Sus scrofa: one gene and its partners. The protein of the gene in region 1 interacts with the protein of each later gene in a pairwise test. Links are inferred from orthologs where the notes say so. Each region holds a gene or a part of one and is shown on either strand. Other genes may lie near its edges.

The links.
Region 2: the proteins of ARL6IP1 (region 1) and SNX11 interact in binary tests that used the Homo sapiens proteins (3 or more experiments, as listed by UniProt). The two-hybrid records come from large-scale screens. The link is inferred for Sus scrofa from reciprocal best matches to the Homo sapiens genes ARL6IP1 and SNX11.
Region 3: the proteins of ARL6IP1 (region 1) and ACSF2 interact in binary tests that used the Homo sapiens proteins (3 or more experiments, as listed by UniProt). The two-hybrid records come from large-scale screens. The link is inferred for Sus scrofa from reciprocal best matches to the Homo sapiens genes ARL6IP1 and ACSF2.

The regions. Positions count from the first base shown.
Region 1 is NC_010445.4:26,756,902-26,764,527, forward strand, and holds the start of ARL6IP1 (ADP-ribosylation factor-like protein 6-interacting protein 1), read left to right. Parts: upstream 1-3,743; 5' UTR 3,744-3,822; coding exon 3,823-3,858; intron 3,859-6,632; coding exon 6,633-6,766; intron 6,767-7,626. UniProt on the Homo sapiens protein: Positively regulates SLC1A1/EAAC1-mediated glutamate transport by increasing its affinity for glutamate in a PKC activity-dependent manner.
Region 2 is NC_010454.4:24,348,584-24,355,987, reverse strand, and holds the start of SNX11 (sorting nexin-11), read right to left. Parts: upstream 4,689-7,404; 5' UTR 4,544-4,688; intron 2,465-4,543; exon of another isoform or gene 2,405-2,464; intron 1,520-2,404; 5' UTR 1,511-1,519; coding exon 1,364-1,510; intron 648-1,363; coding exon 561-647; intron 272-560; coding exon 171-271; intron 1-170. UniProt on the Homo sapiens protein: Phosphoinositide-binding protein involved in protein sorting and membrane trafficking in endosomes. Regulates the levels of TRPV3 by promoting its trafficking from the cell membrane to lysosome for degradation.
Region 3 is NC_010454.4:26,711,225-26,718,712, forward strand, and holds the start of ACSF2 (acyl-CoA synthetase family member 2, mitochondrial), read left to right. Parts: upstream 1-2,565; 5' UTR 2,566-2,722; coding exon 2,723-2,850; intron 2,851-7,488. UniProt on the Homo sapiens protein: Acyl-CoA synthases catalyze the initial reaction in fatty acid metabolism, by forming a thioester with CoA. Has some preference toward medium-chain substrates. Plays a role in adipocyte differentiation.

The DNA of each region.
Region 1 (7,626 bases):
TTGTTTGTGGTTGTTCTGATGTGTGAAATCTAAGGAAAGAGCCATTAAAAAATGCCAAGCAGGGCAATGCAAGTACAGCCAAATATTAGAGTTGATGTGCAATCTTAGGTCCTTTTAAATCTGGGGTGATATAGGCAGTACTTTAAAAAGTCTTCCTGGCCTATTTTCCTCCACATATTTGTAATTACTTTGGGGGCTTACTGGTTGTGGCAGTACTAAAATCAAAGGAGCTGGTTCTTCTTTTCTCCCAATTCTTTTCATATTTAAGAAGGCACCTACAAATTAGCTTGTTAGTTCTATTCATATGCATCAAGAATCAGTGAATGCTTTTCTGTTAGCACATTTAAGTATCTTTGTTTTTATATAAAAATCAGATGAATATGAAAACCAATGACCTTCCATTCTGTATCTTGCCTTGTAAAAATGCCAGTAATTTAGAGCTAGGACCTTTCCTCAAATCCAGGAGGCCAACTATGTTAAAGGAAGGGGGTCCCTTTTAAAGAAGGCAGATTTTTTTTCAATATTTGGGTTCTATTAGAGAGAGTCCTCCTGTGGGAAAACCTAGCTAGCATTACAAATTTTCCATACACTGGGGAAGGAAATTCACTGTTCTAAACCCAGAAGGGTTTGTTGCACTTTTCCTGCTTTTTTAGGCCTGGGTAACAATATCACCATTCTTTACATAAGGGCAAATGGACTTCAATTGAGAGAAGCTTTATAGGTTCAAGGGTTAGTTGTACAACATGAACCATGTAGTCTCTTTCTTTCCAAGGGAATTTGACTGGGCTTACTAAGGAAAAGCTGTTTGTTGTGCTAATGCAAAAGTGCCATACAATTAGAATTAGCTCAGCTTTTGAAGATGGTAAACTTAAGGAACTGAATGTTGTTCTGAAATGCAGAAACTTGCAGAATGTTTTTCTTTCAAAACAGGCTGATTTTTTTTTTCTTTTCCTGACAGTACAAGTTTCAACTCCTGTTTAAAGTTCTTGTGTCAGTTATTTTCTTGTTTAAATTTTCCTTATATTTCCACCTGTAATGTCAGTGGCAACATCATTCACTTGTTTATTTACCCTTTATTCTAAGAGCAAATTGAGTTGAACTGAATCTTCCTTGTTCTAGTAACATTGTATAAATAAAATGGCTTCTCTGTACAAATGGTTTGTAAGGCCTCCTGATGGATATAATTTTGTGATTGTATTTAAGATTAAAAGTTGAATAAAACACACCAGCTTCCTGAAAATATTCATAATGCATTTTTTGGAAAACAAAATACATGCCTACTTTGTGCATATTTGCATTAACATGGCAAAGATTGTATGAAATACCTGTTTTTCAAAAAATAAAGTTTTAAAAGATTTAAGCTCTGATTTATCGAAGTTTCCAGAAAAATTAATTTTGGAATATGAATAATTTTTTAAAAAGCGTTAATCCAGAAGGTTTTTTTTAAAACTTAATTCTCAAATATATTTTACCCTCAGAGTTTAATAGTACTTTTGAATTAGCAGTGGAAATTTTACTTCCATGATTAAGTTCTTAGTATTAAGGCACAATTAAGCTTAATTTTGTAAATCTTTAAATAAGAACTCCTGTGGAATGTTACTCACATTTATGTTCCCTGGTGTATGAAAGCTATGAAGGAAAACGAAATGGCCAACCTGTTTTAATATCTGGAAATAAGATTGCATTTGTTGGATTATGTTAGGAAGATTTATGTTAACTGTTTAGTCATCCAACATGTTTCAAAAGATTCTGTCTTGCCTTTATTGTACAAAATGGGGCAAAAGGCTCCATCCAAGAAAGCCATGCTAAGTGTAGGTGTTTTTTGTTCTTATTAGGGCGACTGGAATTTTAGTTAAAGACCTTCCACCAGTGCTCGGTGTTAAGTTGCTGGTTAGGTCTGGGAACACATTCCTTGAGTAAGAGATACTCTGTGGAGAATCTGTGCTGTTTGAAAGCAGATCCTTCAGTTTTCACCTACTTGAATTGCACAAGCTGCTGTTGAAAGAGAAGTCTCTTCTGAAGTTGTACACAGGGAACTTGGATAAAAACCAGGCGCACTCTGTAGCAAAAGCTGATTTCCCAATGTACAAATGGCAGTTTTTAAACTCTAGTAACTGATGCCCTCTTCTTCGGAAGTGGATGTTACTGTACCTAAAGTACTGTTTTGCATTCAGTACTCTCTATATTCATCACGTGGTTGGTTGCTCGCTGTTTGCGACCTTCTGATTTTCTTTTGAAGAGGTAGGGAAGGGCCTACTCTTCAAACTCCAACTAAAATCTCCCCAAATGGGATATATCAACTGGCTGCATTTTACCTGCATAACCTGTTTTTCTCCCCAACATTTCCCTAAGTGGAACTTTACTGAAGAGTCAGTCCCCTTCCCTTGCAGAGGCTTTTTTTTTTTTTTTAATCTCCCTCCAAGTGTTTATACCTGATCAGATGCTTTATTTTTTTTCACAGTAAAAAAAGAAACTTACATTCTTATATCACAACAGAACAAAGGGTGGAAAAAAATGTATACATGTAAGTGTAACTTGGTCCCCATGCTGTACAGCGGGGAAAAAAAAAACACAATTGGTTAATAGTATAATAAAAAAATGCCACATGAGATACCAAAAAAACCCAAAAACAAACGATGGCATAATATAGAAGACTATAAAAAGTTAAAAGCTATGCTAAGTTTTCCTCAAAAAGACATCTGACCAGGTCAACATTTAGCATATTTCGAGCAATGAAAATGAAAGCATTTTTTAAATACATTTTTGTGAAGTCCTGGAGAGAAAAGATTTCTCAACACAGCTCATCTAGTTTTTGTTTTTGTTTGGCCGCTCCCCTGGCATTCATCTGCTTCTTAAATTCCAATTCATTCCACCCTTATGAGAGAGTTGACATCTTTCCTTAGCATGACCTCTAATGTAAAAAGATCTGTCAAAACAAGTCCCTTTTTGGAGAGGGAGTTCGTAGTTTACCCCACAAAGAATTTCCCCAAACACCCTATATAAACAAGCCGATTTTTTTAAGTCAATGCATTTTTCACAAGTTGTCGAACTACGCCAAGATTTTCTCCTACCCCCATCAAACTAAGGCCTTAAAGGGGAGTAACATTGCGGAAAAAAAATCTACATAAATAGCCCTATTCATTTGTCCGCGAAACCTCACGAGATGGGCACGAGTCATAAATCCAGGCTAAACTGCTCAAGGCTGCGGGAGCAGGGATCAGAAGGCGGGGCCGACGGGGAACAGCTGGGGCGAGGGCCACAGGCTGCTTCTGTTAAGAGGATCCCAGCCGGCCCCCTTAATCACAATGAAGTTAGCGTCACATGACCACCTCTGCCTTCCGCCTGATACTGGGTGGCATATTTCCTCGAGGACTAATTCCGGAGAGTCTCCTTGGCTGCTTTGAGGTCCCCCTGAAAGAGCGTCCGAGAGCTACGGTTCCCACAGGCCCCGGGGATACTGAGGCCACACCAGGCCCCGGGCAGCGGCCGTTCAACCGCTTCTGAAAGGCCTGGGCGGGGCGTCGCACACCTCCTGGGCGCTGATTGGTCATTCAGTGTCCCCGCCTCCTCGGCCCCGGCGTTCTCACTCTCCTTTGACCTCGGTTTCAAGACATGCGCTGGACAGCGGTTGGCCGCCCCGGCTTCAGCTTCATCTTGATTTGCCCAATGAGGAGCGAGCTTCGCGGGGTCTGTCGGGAAAGGCATCCAGCCTATATAAGCGGCTTGCGGGGCGTACCCTGATGCCAGGGTAGCCTTAAGGGGTTCGAGAGAGCTCTTGGTTTTGTGGCGTCTTTCGCTCCTAGAGACGACACCTCAGGGACGATGGCAGAGGGAGATAATCGCAGCACCAATCTGCTGGTGAGTCCTGGCGGCTTCGTCGTGAGGGAAATGCGCTGGGTTTCTGGATATTAGGCTCCATGGGACGGCGCTGCGGCTTCGTTCCTATCACCTGCCGCGGGCCCGGCCTCCTCTCCCGGTGCCCAGGTGCAGGCGACGACTCCTGCCCTTTGGATGTCGTGGGTGAGCCTTGCTTGGCGGTCACTAGTCGTGTCCACGCCTAACATCCCTTGGGGACGGTTCGCGACGGAGCGAGGGCGCGTGATCATTCACCGCGAATAGAGGTTGAGGAGGAAGCGAGAGAAGAGGGGCTGGGACCCGCCTGGGGTGCAGTCACTGGCTGAGGGCCGCGAGTGCCCTGTCGAGTGCTTCGGGGGGCCCAGGCCCCAGCGGTATCCGGGTTTTCCCTCTTTCATCTTAAGCAGGACATCCTTTCGCCCTTTTCCCCAGTATTTGGTCAGGGGTTGAGGGTCAAAGGGTTGCTGCCGATAATTTGTTAGAGCTGGCACAGCTTAACACGGCAGCGAGGCTGCAAACTCACCGCTGGGAACCGAAAGTAAGAGTCCAGCCGGAAGGACTATGGGAGGTCTCGGCGTTAGTCTGTAACTGATAAACCTTTGGGGAAGGGGGAGGGTCACGGGAGGACTTTCGAGTAAGCAGGGGTCTAAAGGAAATGCAGTGAGGTTCTATCACAGGCAGACAATTTTAACCTCACTGAGAATCACGCAGGATCTAGGCAAAAGGGAAGGAAGGATCAGTCCATTTTCTACGTTGCATTTTCCCCAGGGAGAGTGCTAATGAATTAAGTGACTTTGCAGGGCAGTTTTGATTGTGCATGATTTTCGTTTTGCATTGATTTTTAGAAACGTATGACCTCTGCCCCATGACACACACACAGCAAAAACCTCTTCTCTGTGGTAAGCCTAGTTAGCCCCAGCCAGCTTCGTTTTAAGAATTGATTGTAGCACAAAGAAGTTGCCCAAGTTTACACAGCTGTTGAGACAACCGATATGGGCTCTGCTCTGCTGCTCTCTCTGCAGAGCAGTGTGGCTTTAAGGACAGGCCTTTGGCCTTGGATTTGCCAGATTCAGATCTGTTAACCTCTGTGTATCTCAGTGTCCTTATCTATAAAATGAAAATAATAACATCTTCCTTTCAGTTTGTTACGAGAAATGATTAAAATATAAACACAGAAAACATTTAGCAGAGTTTCTGGCACATGATAATCTTTTTTAACTTATTAAACATAGTATATAAAGTCAGAAATATTGAGGTTCCACCTAAGTGATCAGTGTGGCACAGCATTTTTTTTTTTTTTTTTTTTTCTTTTTAGGGCTGCCCCCATGGCCTATGGAGGTTCCCAGGCTAGGCTACACCACAGCCACAGCAACATCAGATCCAAGCCAAGTCTGCAACCTACACCACAGCTCTTAGCAGTGTTGGATCCTAAACCCACTGAGCAAGGCCAGGGATCAAACCTGCGTCCTCACGGATACTAGTCAGATTCGTTTCTGCTGAGCCACGACAGGAACTCCACAGATGTCATCTTCAACAAGGTTAAGCGGCACTGTCTCCTATCATTTGCCTGTCTCCCTATAATAACAGTCATAAGGATACATGGGTTTCTTCCAATTTTTTTTTTTTTCCTCTACCAGAATCAGTTTAAAGGCTTTTTGTCACATTGGCTTCATCCTAGAAGTTTCCTTGCAGGTGATTGTCAGATTTGCAGAGAAATTTAAAGTCTAACCACAATGTCTGCTAAGTGTCAGAAGCATTTTATTGAGGTAAATTGGGCTTACTGTGCCTCATATAATTTGGTGAAAGCACCCGTAGTTTTCCTAATTGTGCAGATGATGCCAACATCTAAATGATTCCATTATACAGAGAGCTGTTTTGGAAACCGCTCTTCAGGAAGAGGCTTTCCTAATGGATTCAGAAGTAGGGGGTTAAGTCAGTGAAATGAAACAACAAATTAGTTGTAACCACCTGAAATGAGCAAACTTAAAGTGATGTAATTTCATTTTCAGAAAGCTGCCACTTAGTAGGACATGACTTTGGGAAAGCAACTTTTTTTTTTTTTTTTTGGCTGTGCCCTCCTGTGTATGGAAGTTCCCGGGCCAGGCCAAGGATTGAACCCACACGACAGCAGCAACCAAAGCCACTGCAGTGACAATGCCTTAACTCGATGCACCACAAGAGAATTTGGAAAGCAACCGTTCTGAGCTCACTTTCTTTTTACTGTAAAATGGATCTAATTATCCTTATTTTATGAGGTTCTATACGGGTTATTATGTACATAAAGAATAGCCCAGTGCTTAGAGTTGGAAGGTGACCATTAAGTGATAATTTTTCCCCCGTAATTTCTGGCTTTGGTATCAAAACTGCAGAGTTTTTTTTAAAGACTAACTTGTTTAAGATAGTGATTTGTGGAAGTTCCCATTGTGGCTCAGTGGTAATGAGTCCAACTAGTATCCATGTGGACGCTGGTTCGATCCCTGGCCTCATTCAGTGGGTTTTGGATCCAGTGTTGCTGTGAGCTGTGGTATAGGTCACAGATGCAGCTCGGATTCCACATTGCTGTGGCTGTGGCCTAGGCCAGTGGCTGCAGCTCTGATTCGACCCCTAGCCTGGGAACCTCCGTATGCCATGACTGTGGTCCTGAAAAGCCAAAAAAACCATAGTGATTTATAAGAGCTCTTTTACATGCTTGGTGCCTTAGAAGAATTTAACTCTCTAGGAGCCACGAAAATATGGAGATTAGTAAAATAATCCCTTTAAATGTTGCTCATATGTAGGCTGCAGAGACTGCAAATCTGGAAGAGCAGCTGCAGGGATGGGGAGAAGTGATGCTGATGGCAGATAAAGTCCTCCGATGGGAAAGAGCCTGGTTTCCACCTGCCATCATGGGCGTGGTTTCTTTGGTGTTTCTGTAAGTGAGATATTAAATTACTGTGGATTGTGCTTGTTACTAATAAAGACTCCAGTTCCATTTATGCAAGTGCCTGAAGTCTTTTGTAATGTATAATCTGTGAAGAATGCCTTTTCTTAGAACCGCAGGCCTGGTTTCCAGAATTTGTAGTACTTTTGTAAGCTCCGTAACCCAATGCAGTGAAATAAATCTAGGTCCTGCTGTACAGCACAGGGAACTATATCCAATCACTTGTGATGGAACATGACAGAAGATAACATGAGGAAAAGAATGTTTTGTATGTATATATGCCTGGGTCACTTTGTTGCACAGCAGAAATTGACGGAACATTGCAAATCAACTATACTTTGAGTAAAAATTTTTTTGAGGGAGTTCCCATTGTGGTGCAGTGGAAATGAATCCAACTAGGAACCATGAGGTTGCAGGTTCGATCCCAGGCCTCACTCAGTGGATTGAGAATCCGGCATTGCCATGAGCTGTGGTGTAGGTCACAGATGCAGCTCGGATCTGGCGTGGCTGTGGCTGTGGTGTAGCCCAGCGGCTACAGCTCCGATTAGATAGACCCCTAGCCTTGGACCTTCCATATGCCATGGGTGTGGCCCTAAAAGGACAAAAGACAACAACAACAACAAAATTTTTTTTTAAATCTATGGCTTAAACTTTGGGCCTTAAGAGCCTTTATGCTCCTAAAAAGTATTGAGTACCCCGAAAAGCTTTTGTCTCTTGATGTTTACATGAACCCTTGCAGCTCTGATGTCATCATGTCATGAAGCTTCCGGAAAACCACTTGTGAGAAAATTAGAATGGAAAGGGCAGATAATCTCTTTGAGAAGCAGAGGTCTGGATGAATAAACATCTTC
Region 2 (7,404 bases), on another chromosome or scaffold:
TCTTTACTTTCTTCACTGACTTGAAAACATAATTGAAGAACACATTTCTCAATTTCCTTAGTACGTGTTGCAAGTTGCCAAGTTTTTTCTCATTGTAAATTCCAGTTGCCAAAGTCAGCACCTAAAAAGCCAGTCTCAGACCCAAGAAAGAAAAACAAGAGCAAACTCACACTAAGCCAGCATTTCTCTGTAGCTGCTTTCTCAGCCATACAAACTCCCTGTAGCGGCGACGCACACAGGACGTCTTGGCAGTAAAGGCCTTGCTATTGGTCTACAGGAGGAAGCACATGCAAAGGGTTTAGTGGAAAAAGCTCATGTTCACCTGAACGCCCCATTGTCACTCTCACTGAGGACCCAAGCCACCAGGCCACAGCCAGGGGCTCCAAGCAGAGCAAGGTGCCACCAGGCAGCCTGAAAGCAACTCTCAGACAAACCCCAGGCTCTTTCCTCTCCTCCCTCCTTTTCTTCTGTCAAAACATCCATGGACAGGTCCTGTCTCAGCACTGGCCCTCAGCCCTGGTTGAAGGTGTTGACCCCAGTACTGAGTTGGATGCACTTACGTGAAGGAATATCTTATAATCCACATAAGAATTCCAGGAGCCCTCATTCTGCACTCGGGGGTCCTGAACACGCACAGTGATCACCTCCTGCAGGTAAGAAATGCTCCTTGAGGAGTTCCCATTATGGTGCAGTGGAAACAAACCCGACTAGTAACCACGAGGACGTGGGTTCGAACCCTGGTCTCGCTCAGTGGGTTAAGGATCTGATATTGCCATGAGCTGTGGTATAGATCGCAGATGAGGCTCGGATCCCTCATTGCTGTGGCTGTGGCATAAGCTGGTGGCTACAGCTGTTCGACCCCTAGCCTGGGAACTTCCACATGCCACAGGTGTGGCCCTAAAATGAAAAAAAAAGAAAAAGAAAAAAGAAAGAAATGCTCTTTGAGCTTCAGCTCATCCACACAAGAAGGCAGCTTTGACACACAAGTTGCCAGATTTTTCACTCGGCACCAATTTTGCTCATTTGTTCATTTATTCATTCAATTCAGCAAATATTTATTGATCACCCTCTTTGTGGCAGGCACTGTTCGAAGGCACTGGGGATAGAACATGAACAAGAGACAAAAATCCTTGCCCTTATGAAGCTTATATTCTAGTACCTTCCAAGGAATGGAAAAGCTTGTGAAAATGGAACCTCGTTTCCCAGTAATGCCTTTACTGTTGATTTCCTTCTCTTGGCTTGACTTTGAGCTCATCAGAACCACCAAGGCCTTACTGTCAGAAGAACACAGCCCAGCAATATCTGAACCTCCCACATGCCCTCAAACTTTAACCCACCTGTTCCCCAGAAACTACGTGCTTACCTCCTGCTCTTGGTTCTCCAACATCCTACACCAAAAGCCCATTGGTAGGAAACATCTGGCAAAGGGCAGAGACACAGGATCAATCACCGTTAGTTGGCTTCCACCCTTACTTCTCTCTGCCAGGGCAAAACCCTGAAAATTTTTCATCAGTCTCCCCTGGGGAAACACAGACAACTTTTTTTGTTCTTGAGTAAAACTTAAGAGGAAGCAAAAAAAATCCCCCCCACAGAAGCGTGGTGCCAAGCTAAAAGCCCTGTGGGATTTGCCTCCCTTCTTAGTCCCTGGTGGAGACCCTGACCCAAGCCGCCTCTAGCTAAAAAGCACGTTCAGGTCTGCACAATGTCCTCTCAGGCAGCCAGAACAGGCAGGTGGGCTCTAAAAGCTTTCTGCCTGAAAACACCAGCGATGCCCAGCAGTGTCTGTGGGCGCACACAGCACAGCTCTCTAAGTGAGCCCGACATCGCCCCCTTCTGGCTATCTAGAGACAACCAAAACCGCACACACACACCAAAGCTCCTAAGTCTATCTTTTGTCTTGCTAAGCACAGTCACACACACACACACCCGCCCCCGAAGGTACCTCTCAGGGTCAGAGAGTTCCGGGGGCACCTGAGCGGGCTGCCCAGCAATGACCTTCCCTTATCTAATCCAATCTCTGGAACCCAAGCCAATGGTTCTAATCATTTCCTCTCTCGATATGCGGTTTGCACCTCTGCCCAAGCACCCCACAGCTGCACAGGTCGACTCAGGATGTTTTCCGCTCCTTTGCAAAGATTCATTAAAGCCTAAGCCACTGATTTCCCCCAATGTGGCAGTTTACATGTGCAGCGACATCGCCCACTCCGACAAGGGGACCATGAAGGCTGCAGCACAGGGTTACTCAAGTCCAAAGGGGCCCATGATGTCACCTTCTGTTAAAATACAGCACTAATCTTGTTACTCCTAGAACCACTCCAACAGCATCCACTCTGGCTGCCGCCTCCACCCCCTTCTCCTCTCTTAAGAGCGGAACAATAAGGTTTAATTTCCCTTTCCAATTTACCTTGAAATGAAAACTGACTTCAGCCAATATGTACTGCCAACAAATGATCCGGGCTGGCTCCTGGGAAAACAAGACTATCGCTAAGCTCTCCCTCTCCTCCCCTCATGCCCATTCACACACCCACTCGTTTTTACAGTCCCACAATTAATTTTAAACACATTCTCTTATTAGTTCTGCCTTACCATTAGAAGAGCGTGTAATGAGTTTCCTTCTATTTTATGTTGTGCTAACACAAGGCTAACATTTCAAGAGAAGGGGAACTCATTTACGCCACAAAATTAGCAAAGCACACAGCTTTTCCAATCCTTTCCGGTATACCAGAAGGGCTCGCCACACACCGGCACTGCATGCAGAGATTAAACTGCATGATATACACCAAAATTGGGCTATAGAGCTGAACAAACAGGAAATTTTGTGATTGAGATATCATCTTTAACAGTATTCATGCTGACATTCTGATTTTTCATTTGATGCGGTCACTACCGCCAAAGAGTCCTGAACTGGAAGGCAGGACTGTCCAGTTCCATGGCCACTGATGCATGTAAGCAGTCCTGCATGTAAGCAGTCAAGTGGCTGTGACCCAAAAAGGCAGGCCAACTCACTGTGAACAACTAATCTCCTCATATTAAAACGAAACATCTTTTCTTTTCTCTTTTCAGGCATTGGTTAATTACCAGCACAGGAGCAGACAGTTAAATACACTGAACCGTTTTTCCTACAAAAGGAACAACAGGAGAGATGCTAACAAGGAAATCCACACACTCAGAAGAGCTCGAACATCCACAATGCCTTGAAAGGTTTCCCAAATTCAGGACCATAGTTTAGTAACTTAATGGTCATCACTCTCAGGCTCAAGAAGAGTTTGCCTAGGACTCTGAACCACCTCCAAAAGCAAGTTCCCCTCCTTTCCTTTGGGAATCATACCACTTAGAAACTAAAAGCTATAAACTGGCTTTAAAAATCCTAGGATCTCCAAGATGGTATAAACTTAAGTCTAAGTTCACAAAGCACTAAGAAAGTTTCAATGGTAACTTTCCTTAGAAACAACGGGGCCACAAAAACCTAGACTTCAAGTAATAATTTTCAGCAACTACTATTCTCCATCAGCTTCCTCCCTGTGCACTCCTTAGGAGGAAATAAAGCTCATTTCAGCCCTTGGAGGGAAGAAGGAAGTTCTTAATTTTAGCTCCATGATCTAGGAGATGGATCCATGTGTCATCTGACTAAGTATAGTTTCAGCTACTTACTTGGCACCAGCACCAGGAAGTGTAGCTTCCTGCGACCCTACAATCACATTTGAAGTTTTCCTTTGCTTTTCCCAGGACCTCCAAGGAAAACCCAGTTTGTTTATAGGGTAGATTCCTTGTAAAGCTTTCCAATGCCTCAACAATTCAAGGTAGCAATTCAAGGCTTTAACTCCACCATTTTCCCTCAGATTTAAACTACTTCAAGAGACAGGTTAAGAAAAAAAAATCAGGTGATAAAAAGTATACTGAGCCACCAAGACGCTCATCCTTGCTTACTCAGCCTTCAGCTCTTGGTGCCAGATGGCAACTCAAAAACTCTGCTTCGGAGAAACACTCACAGGTGGTAGAAGGAGCTCTCCTGTCTGACCAAGCTCTGCCTGTTCTCAACCAAGCAGCTATGCTCCATCTTTTGGTGATCTGCAACTTGCCACTCTCTCCACTTGCAAGCTGAGACACAAAGGCGACCACAATCTAGTGCAAGAGTCTTCTGGGTCCTCGTAAAATATGTGTCATTAGTCTTAGTCCTAGCGTTTGGCTAAAAGTCTCCAAACTTTTACTCCGGCCACACCCCCTGTGTTCCTAACGAACTAGGAGCAAAAAAGGCCACATAGTCCTTACTCCCTTTTGCCTACTAAGCCTGAGGAGTGGGAAGGAAAGATGCTTTACACTTTATAAATAAGTGGAAAAGCCGGTTTCCTTCCTCGGATACTGAGCTAGCCCTGCCTTCATCTCTGGAGAGGAGTCGGTTCCTTCCTCAGGATGTCCAGCAAGGTCCCCACCCTAAGCGCCACTGCTGACGCTCAAGCCTGCAGGCCTTACCTAAGACCAGAGCCCACGCCCCTTCACCTGACAGCAGCACCCACTCCCCGCGGACCCGCCCACTCCCCCTCACCTGAAAGCAGCGCCCACTCCCCACAACGACACCGCTGACAGCCCAACATATAGTCAGAGTCCCGGCTTCTCCTTCCGGGTGAGCTGCCGGCGCCCCGATGCACGACGGGAGAAAGTTGCCGGCGCGCCAATCCCGGGTGCCCAGACGCCCCGCCCCGCAGGCCCGGGCTCTCAGTGGCAGCCTCGCCCCGGCGGTGCGCTCCGCCCAGCGCTGGCCACTGCTGGAGTAGCTATTCCTACCTCTCCCCTGGGAGGCTGCAGGGTGGACGTGGGCGTGGGGAGACAAGAGGCTCTGACGTCCAATCCAGAGCCGCATCCCACCCATCGTTGTCAGGCCCAGCCAATCAGTGGCCAAGGAACAACCCCGAAACATCCCAAAGTGGGTCCCGGGGCAGAGTGTGAAGGGATGATCAGCGGTCTAGAGTGTGGCAGAGTCCAAAGCGTGGGAACCTCGCTGAGCCTGGGCGAGTCCCCATGTGAACCCTGGCTCCAGTTCCCCGGCTTTACCAAGGAAACACCAACTCAGATTCGAAGACCAGATTGTCGGAGCGAAAACCGGCTGAGGACTTTGCAGCAAACACCGGTTTCACTTGCGGAGCAAGCCCTAGGAAAGATCGTCCAGCCAGTTAGTAAGAAAGAAAAATACATTGACTACGATGTTTATGTTGTTGAAATGCCTTTTAACTATCTGCTTAAAAATAATTTTAGAAAAGCTAATATCAAGGGAAAAGTTGCAGTCGCAAATACGAGCTCTGGAGTTTAAAGACCTGGGTACAATGACCAGCACTACGCTGACCGTGTGATCTTAAATCTTTATGTCTTAAGTTCCTCTTCTGTAAGGTGGAGAAATCTCATAAGGTAAGGTCCACGTACCCCAAAGCAGCTTTTCTCAAACTTGTTGGTCTCAGGATCCCTTTACATTCTTACAAATATTTAAGGACCCCAAAGAGCTTTTGTTTATGTGGGATGTTCACCGGATTAGAAATTAAAACTGAGAAATTAGAAAAACGTATCTATTCACCTAAAACTAATAACAAACCATTACATGTGAACGTAATTTATTTTATGAAATATAACTACACTTTCCAAAACCCAAAAAAATTATCGAGTAGAATGTTATTCTATTACCATTTTGCAAATCTCTTTCATGTTTGGCATAATAGAAGACAGCTGAATTCTTGTATTAGCTTCCCCATTCTCTCTTGTGATTTTGTTTTGGACTAGGAAATGAAGAAAATCTGGTCTTACACAGGTACATAGATGACAAGGGAGAAGTATCTTTAGCCTTCGATAATTGTGGATACTCTTATTGTATACTAGCAAAACTCATCAAATTGTAATTTTTTTTTCTTTTTCTTTTTTGGCCTCACCCACAACATGTGGAAGTTCCCCAGGCCAGGGATCAAACCATTGCCACAGAAGCAATTGGGGCCACTACAGTGACACACCAGGCCCTTAACCCACTGCTCCACAAGGGAACTCTAAATGGTAGTTTCTTTAAGGTTAGTTGCAATGGGAAATCTGAAACCATTTGGAAAATACTGGTTTTCTGAGTAATGTAGATCTTCCAAATATTAATGTATTTCACTTTTCAGTTTTTTTTTTTTTTTGTCTTTTTGCCATTTCTTGGGCCGCTCCCTCGGCATATGGAGGTTCCCAGGCTAGGGGTCGAATCGGAGCTGTAGCTGCCAGCCTACACCAGAGCCACAGCAACGCAGGATCCGAGCCATGTCTGTGACCTACACCACAGCTCATGGCAACGCCGGATCATTAACCCACTGAGCAAGGGCAGGGATCGAACCCGCAACCTCATGGTTCCTAGTCAGATTCATTAACCACTGCGCCACCACGGGAATTCCACTTTTCAGTATTTTAAATATCACGTTTATTAAAATGTGATTAAAAATCACATTTAAGGGGTTCCCGTCATGGTGGCACAGTGGAAACGAATCTGACTAGGAACCATGAGGTTGTGGGTTCAATCTCTGGCCTCACTCAGTGGGTTAAGGATCTGGTGTTGCTGTGAACTGTGGTGTAGGCTGGCAACTAGCTCCGATTGGACCCCTAGCCTGGGAACCTCCACATGCCGCGAGTGCGACCCCTAAAAGCCAAAAAAAAAAAAAAGTCACATTTATTAAAAGCATCACTGAATTCATCAGTCTTGCAAAGTTGCCATCAAGCTCACTGGTGAATACTTCATTTTCCTATAATGGCAGAAAAGTTTTCCCTTCTTTTCTAGGTTCTTTGGCTGAAGTAAGACAAATTAACAGGAGAAAAAACAATTTTGTACTTAGAGGAGCCCCATAAAAATGATACCCAAGGGCAAGTTAGGCAGTGGAGACTCATATGCCATCTTGAGCTGAAGACTGGGCTAGGAGCCTGGGGCTTCAAAGTAGGGTAGGGCAATTCACAGGACTAGAAGGAGAGCAGGTGTTTGGTAATTAGAAGTTTGCCCAGGAAGTTCCCTTGTGGCACAGTGGGTTAAGGATCCAGCGTTGCCTCAGCTCTGGCACAGGCAGCAACTGCAGTACAGGTTTGATCCCTGACCCAGGAACTTCCACATGCCACAGATGAAGGGAAAAAAAAAAGTTTGCCTAGTCATCCTGATAAGTCGTTCAGATAAAAAAAGTTATCTCTGGTAGTAGCTCTTTTTCTGGTACAAGTCCCCTGCCTCCATTCTTTAAGATAGTTAGGGAGAAGTGAAAGTTTTCCCTGGAGTTCCTCTTGTGGCTCAGTGGGTTAAGAACCTGACACAGTGTCAGCGAGGATGCAGGTTCAATCCCTGGCCTCACTCAATGGGTTAAGGATCCAGCATTGCCACAAGCTGTGGTGTAGGTCCCAGATGCGGCTCAGATCTGACGT
Region 3 (7,488 bases), on another chromosome or scaffold:
AGAAACATGTTTCATGTACTACTTGGAAACCGTCATTTACAACAGACAGCTCTGGAAAATGACAGCAGAGAAAAGAACTTTGCTCAAGGTCATTGAGAGGAAAAAGCAGCAGAGCTGGATTCTTCCCAGACCTGACTCTGAGGCCAACTGCAGGCCTATGTAACACCTTGGCATTCGTTGAAAGCCTCATGAAACACGCTCGTCTCTGTAAATGATCAATAGCACTAGTCAGGATGCCTCTCTTGGACTGTTACTTTGTTGTTGCTGTTGTTGTTGTCTTTTTATCTTTTCTAGGGCCCCTTCCCGAGGCATATGGAGGTTCCCAGGCTAGGGGTCTAACCAGCTGGCCTATGCCACAGCCACAGCAACACGGGATCCGAGCCATGTCTGTGGCCTACACCACAGCTCACAGCAACACTGGATCCTTAACCCATTGAGTGAGGCCGGGGATCATCCACAACCTCGTGGATTCATGAACCACTGTGCCACGATGGGAACTCCTGGGCTGTTACTTTGAAAACTTATTAAGAGAAAACATGTACAGCGTCTTAGGAAAATAAAACAAGAAAATGGCTTTTTAAACAAAAAAGTAGTTCTCTGCTTCCTCCCTCCTTTCATTCCAAAGAGAGCCGTTTTTTAAAAATTGTGGTAAAGTAGACATAAATGAAATTTACTATTTTAACCATCAATGGCACATCCATTCACATTTAAAAAAAAAATTTATGGCTGCACTTGTGGCGTATGGAGGTTCCCAGGCTAGGGGCTGTATCAGAGCTGCAGCTGCCGGTCAATGCCACAGCCTCCACTGCCTCAGCAACACTGGGTTGGGGCCGCATCTGCAACCTATGCCACAGCTCAAGGCAACGCTGGATCCTGAATCCACTGAGCGAGGCCAGGAACTGAACCCACTTCCTCACAGACACTACATCTGGTTCTGTGCTACCACGGGAACTCGCATTCACAAAGGCCTGCCAGAGCAGTGCCCACCTCTCGCTTCACAGGCCCAGAGAGGAGAAATGACTTCCCCAGGGTCATCCAGCAAGCTAGTAGCAAAGCCTGCTGAGCAGTTCGGGTACCCACTCCTGGGCTACTCCCCATTCCCTGGGCTGAGCTGTCAGACTCTGTGAGTTAGTCTCTTAGGAAGGCATATGCCCTGTGAGCCCAGCTCCTCTTCATCTCGCTTTCTCCGTCTTCCTTTCCAGGCAGCTGAAGTTCGGGGACCATCCCCAAGAGCCAGGGTTTCAGGGGGAATCCACAGTCACTTTTGGGATCACAAAGAGAGGAAACAGGAGTCCCCATTGTGGCGCAGTGGTTAACGAATCCGACTAGGAACCATGAGGTTGCGGGTTTGATCCCTGGCCTTGCTCAGTGGGTTAAGGATCTGGCGTTGCCGTGATCTGTGGTGTAGGTCACAGACGCAGCTGGAATCCCAGGTTGCTGTTGCTGTGGTATAGGCTGGCGGCTACAGCTCTGATTAGACCCCTAGCCTGGGAACCTCTGTATGCCACGTGTGTGGCATGTGTGTGGCCAAAAAAAAAAAAAAAAAAAAAAAAAAAAAAAGGGAGAGGAAACATAGCCTCCTTCTCATGACCTCAGTTTGGAGCCAAAGTTCCCAGATAAAGGCAAAGGTCTCCTCCGGCCAGGTTCAGCCCTCAGCACCCATTCCGCCTGACCCACTGTATCCCTGCTTCTGGGTCAGGAGAGGGGAAAGCACCCTGCCAGGGCCTTTCCCCCATAGCTCTCCCTCTCCTTCTCTGGAAAAGGGTCAAGGCTACACCAAGACACTGTGGACCAGGCACTCTGGTCTCCAACACCACCTTTCCAGCCAGGTCCAGAGATAAATAGTCACCTTCTTTCCAACCTGCAGACACACTGGGGCCTCAGAGGATCATAAGGAAGGCCTGGGGGGTTAGAGAGAGGGTGATGGGTGGAGCCTTGGCACAGTTGCTTTTCATTCTCATTCAGGGACAGCCTCGCGGGAACTGTGCCTTAGGGCCCCCACCCCGCCGCTAGGGCTGGCAGATGGGGGGAGAAAAACACAGGTTTCCACCACCTTAACGGGCCGGCAGCTCAAGGCAGGGGGAGGGAACGCAGGCTGCCCCTTGGGACACGGGAGTACCAACTGGAGCTGGCGTTTGTCCTCAGCCAGGACTCGCCCCGCGGTGGGGTGGGGGGTCCTCACCCGCTGCACCTTTTGTCCCGGCTGCCTCCCCTCCCCCGCGGGCCCTGTGCTCCAGCTGGCAGGCCTGGGGGAGCCTCGCACCGGCTCCCCCTGGCCTCTGGCCCACAACCCGGGAACCAGCACGTGACCTGTGCGCTAAGCCGGCTCTTGGGGGGGGGGGGATGGACGCGTCTGGCCGCGCCGCTGGTTCCCCCTTTACGAAATCAACACGTTCCTGCGCCCCCAAACTCAGGCCCCTAGTGGTTGGAAGGGGAGAGCTGCCGGGGTCCTGCGGCAGGGACTGTCGGGTCCAGAGGGGAAACCAAGGCAATTCTTCGAGGGTGGGTGGGGGGCGGGGCAGGGAAGCGGGTCCCAGGGAAGGTGGCCCGGGATCGGGCACTTCCTCCACGCCTCGTTTGGGCCTCGCCTCGCCCCGCCCCGGCCGGCCCCAACTTCTCCGCAACCCATAGGCAGAGGCGACCCTCCCGCCTCCCCGCGCTTCGCCCCGCCTCGGCGCGCTTTAAAAGTTTACTCCGGGCCGGGACGCTGACGTCGCGAGCCATGGCCGTCTACCTCGGGATGCTGCGCGTCGTGAGGCTGTGCGCCGGGAGGCCGGAGGTGCTGGGGGCCCGGGGCGGCCTCTCCCGGGTTTGGCAGGAAGCGAGGCTGTGGGGCGTCCGTCCCCTCAGGTACGCGGCCCCGGGAAGAGAAGGGACGGGCCAGTCCCCTGGGTGGGGATCCTGGGCGGGGGGCGGCGGGGGGGGGGGCGGTCTGCAGAGCCTCGCAGGGGGCAGATGGCACTCAAGCTGGGAGACTCGCGGCGGCTGCACCCCTGGGCAGCACAGGCGAGAGAGCAGGTACCCTGAATCTGGCACCTAGGCAACAGGAAATGCTGGCCTGGCCCACACAGGCTGGGGCTGCAGCTGCAGGGACTCTGCACAGACTCTGGGTTCTGGTTCAAGACTCTAGATTCTTCCAGTCGCGGGCATACTGATGGCCGGGAGTGGGAGCCATTAGCAGTCTGGCCCAAGGCCTGGACTCTCTCCCCAGGACACTCCTTCTGAGCTGGAACCTTTTCATGGTTAAACTTGGGGATCTTCCACCCCGTCTTGTGCGCCCCAGGTCCTGAAGCTCAGCAGTCTCCCCTCTCCTCCTCTGCTGCTGATAAACCCTGCTGGGCTCCTTGCTGCTTCCTTGGCCTCTTTTCTTCTGCTCTGGTGAAGAAGGAAAGTGCCCTGGCAGATGAAGGAAGTGTTTTTCTAGCAAGTGTGCTGCCTCTAAAGCAGCAGCGTAAGCAATACTACCTCCCTCTAAGAGTGCAGATGTGAAAATGTGTTTGGGAAGCAGGGCTGGGCTCCCGCTAGTTATTAGCGGTGGCTTTTATCTTTAGCACCCAGCAGGGGGAGGCCTGGCCACCACTGAGCCTGCCCTGCCACCCACCTAGGCCAGGTACTGGCTCTGGGGTCAGGACAGGGTTTTGGACCCCAGGTGCCATGTAGGCCTGGGCATTGAAAAGGGAGGAGAAGCTCGAAGAGGTTTCTTGTCTTGCCGGCATGGTGTAAACAAAACGAAAAAAAAAAAAAAAAACAGATGAGGGAAGTTGATGGGAGGTCCAAACTCCTCTTTGGCTGGAACTCTGGAGATCACAGTGTTTTGAACTAGCTGGTAGAAAGCATGCAGTGCTTTCGGATTGCTGGGCCTGATTTTTCTGGAGGTGGCTCAAGAAGGTCAGCAGATGGGATTCTGAGGACGAGAATGCTTCTCTGCTGGCTCCGTCACTCACGACCTCCTGCTAAGTGCCTTCCTAGGCAAGCTCTGCCATCACCACCCCACAGCCTTCAAGCCTCACTTCTGGACTCCGGGCGGGGGCGGGGGTGGGTGTACATGTTTCATGATGTACATCAGGCCACCTTTGCAATCGTTCTGGACCTTTGACTTTTTTTTTATGTGTAAACAAAGCAGGTCCCTTACTTGCTACAGTCCTGTAACCTTAGGGTAGGGGTACTAGGCCTCCGAGAAATTTCTGACTCTGTGTCAGGAGGAGAGCCATGTGTCCAGAGAAGAATTTCCTGAGCATCTGGCCTAATTCCCTCCCATCCTTTCCATGCACTCGTGCATGAGCCCTTCCCTACTGACTCTGGTCGTTTGGCCTGATTTTGCTCCTCCTGTCCTCTCGGAAACCCTCAGGAGTCTCAAGCATTCAGCCTATACTCCCGAGAGCCTTCATCATGACCAACCCCTGATGGGTGCCGTAGTTATGAAAGTCATAGAACCCAGTCCTCCGGGGACTTGTAGCCTAGTACAGAGACAAGTCAGGATGACCACTGCTCCGTGTTCTGGGTGCCGTGTGGAAAGCTCCTGGACTTTTGTCCTCTGCTCTTTCTGACCTGGTCCCATATAGCTCGCTTTCTTGCTGACCAGCACCCATGTCTATTCCTTATCAGATCCTTAGTTTTGCCTGTTAGGAAAAAGCAAGAATTTTGAAGCCAGGCTGCTTTGGGTTATAGCCCTAGTGCCTCCACCTACTTGCTGTGTGACTTGAGCATGTGACCTGAGCCAGGAGCCTGTGGCGTTGTCACTAATGGTACCTACTTGCTGAATTGACAAAGGCTTGCTCCTCTCAGCCTTTGCTTTGGGGCAGGCTTGGTCCCTAAGAACCTCCCAGTGGTGTCTAGGTAGGACTTCCAAGTGATTTGAAGGGAGGAAAGGACCCCCTCCTCAGTGACCTCTTTCTTGCACCTGGTCCTCTTTCCAGATCAGTTGCCAAAATGTTGGGCTCTGCCCAGCCCCAAGTCTAGTGCCTGGATCTGCTGGACACTCCTCTATCCATCAAGGTCAGGGCTGTCCAGAGCCCTTTTTCCCCAGAAGGAAAGAGGAAGCTGTCCATTGCTCTCCAGATCTCCTGAACTATCAACCCCTTCCCCTTGTCCACACACACGCTATTCCCCAGGAATGGGAAATGGTCTAGTCTGGGGCTTCCAGGAGCTTTGGAGGGAGGAATCCCATGCTGATTCCTTGGGGAAGCCTGTGAGGCAGCTGCACCTGGGTTATTGCGAGCACTTAGGGCTGGGGAAGACAGAAAGAACAGTGGTTTAGGAGTTCCCATCGTGGCTCAGTGGTTAACAAACCCAACTAGTATCCGTGAGGATGCAGGTTCGATCCCTATCCTTACTCACTGGGCTAAGGATCGGTGTTGCCGTGAGCTGTGGTGTAGGTCACAGGTGCAGCTCGGATCCCGCCTTGCTGTGGCTGTCACGTAGGCTGGCAGCTACGGCTCCAATTTGACCCCTAGCCTGGGACCCTCCATATGTGCAGGTGCGACCCTAAAAAGACAAAAAAAAAAAGACAAAAAAAAAATACAAAAAAAAAAAAAAGAAAAGAAACTATAAATTTAGACATTGTAATCTGTGAATGATGCAGGTATGCAGTCTACTGTGGCGGGTGCAATGGGGGATACAAGGATGGATGAACTTGTTTTCAGTGACTTCTTTGACTAAAAGGGCTCTACAGGGAAAGATCATAGACCCACTGATTCAAGGAAGTAAGGATGCTGTACCAGGGAGGGTGTCAATCAAAGCAGGGAAGAATCTGACTGGTAGGAATGGGACTGGGTAAGACTTTCTAAAGAGCCCAGAATATGAGCCTGATCTCCAATGACAGGGCTGTAGTTTGAAGGATGAAGTCTATATACTTGTATGAACGCTTGCTTGCCCTAAACTCTTTTGAACCTTGGATATGAAGCCTTGCTAAGATCTCTCACATTATTTATTTATTCAGTCTACAAAGATTTTGGAGCCAGACAGATCTGTGTTCAAAGAACCACTTTCTAGCTGGTAGCTTCCGGAATCAGTTGAACTTGAGACCTTTGTTGTTTGTAAACGGTGTTGTTGTGAGAGTTAAGTGAGGTCACATAAGAATGTTGTTTTTTTTTTTTTTTTTTCCCCCGTCTTTTGTCTTTTTAGGGCTGCACCTGGGGCACATGGAGATTCTCAGGCTAGGGGCTGAATCACAGCTGTAGCTGGTGGCCCCTGCCACAGCCACAGCAACTCGGGATCCAAGCCACGGCTGCAACCTACACCACAGCTCATGGCAATGCCGGATCCTTAACCCACTGAGCGAGGCCAGGAATTGAACCCGAGTCCTGATAGATGCTAGTTGGATTCATTAACCACTAGGTCACAACGTGAACTCCCTATTTTTTTTTTTTTTTTAAGAAAAATCTTTTTCTTTTTTTTTTCATCTTTTTTTTGTCTTTTCTAGGGCTGCACCCACAGCATATGGAGGTTCCCAGGCTAGGGGTCTAATCAGAGCTGTAGCCACTGGCCTATACCACAGCCACAGCAACACCAGATCCGAGCCACGTCTGCACCCTACACCACAGCTCACGGCAACACCGGATCCTTAACCCACTGAGCGAGGCCAGGGATCGAACCTGCAACCTCATGGTTCCTAGTTGGATTTGTTAACCACTGCACCACGACGGGAACTCCCAGAAAATTCTTAATTCGTGGCCTGACTCTAAGGAGACCTTCAACCCATTGCATTAATGATAGGGCTTGTGCAATAATGGCTTTGGACATTCCTACAATTATTCCAAGATCCACGGCTTAGAAGCCTGTCTGGAGAGTAGGAAGAACACAGGTCTACTTAAACCAACCTGGGGCTGCTCTGGCTGTTGACAGACACATCGTGCTTATGCTGAGTGCTGGGATAAAGGGCTGCTCTCCCCCCCAACCCCCGATCATGTGTTGAAGAAACCAAAGTATAGGATGTAATTTCATCCCTTGAAAGGGCCTGGCTGGGGGAGTGTCTTGATAAATGGCAGGTACCAATAATGCTACCAGGCGCCTCTCCCTTCAGAAATAAACAAGCTGTTTCGAGCTTAGGAATCATGTTTTGGGAACCTAACCGGCACACGTGCTTCTCAGTTTGGGAGTTACACCACAGGACAGAAAATCCCAGCCCTACCACTTCTAGTTCAGTATGGCTTTAGGCAAGTTACTCACCCTGTCTGGACCTTGGTTTCTTTGTAAAATAGGCCACTTGGACAAGAGGCACTCTGCACTATTTCTGTGGACATTCTGGGCTTTGGGCCTGATCTCTGAGTCCATGTTCTTTGGGCCTGATCTCCGAGTCTGTGTTCTTTGGGCCTGGTCTCTGAGTCGGTGTTCTTCTCTACATAGGCACAAACACACATTCGCTATCAGTTTTTTGTTTGTTTGTTTGTTTTTTATCTTTTTGCCTTTTTTATAGGGCCACTCTCGTGGCATATGGAGATTCCCAGGCTAGGGGTCCAATAGGAGCTGTAGCCACTGGCCTATGCCAGA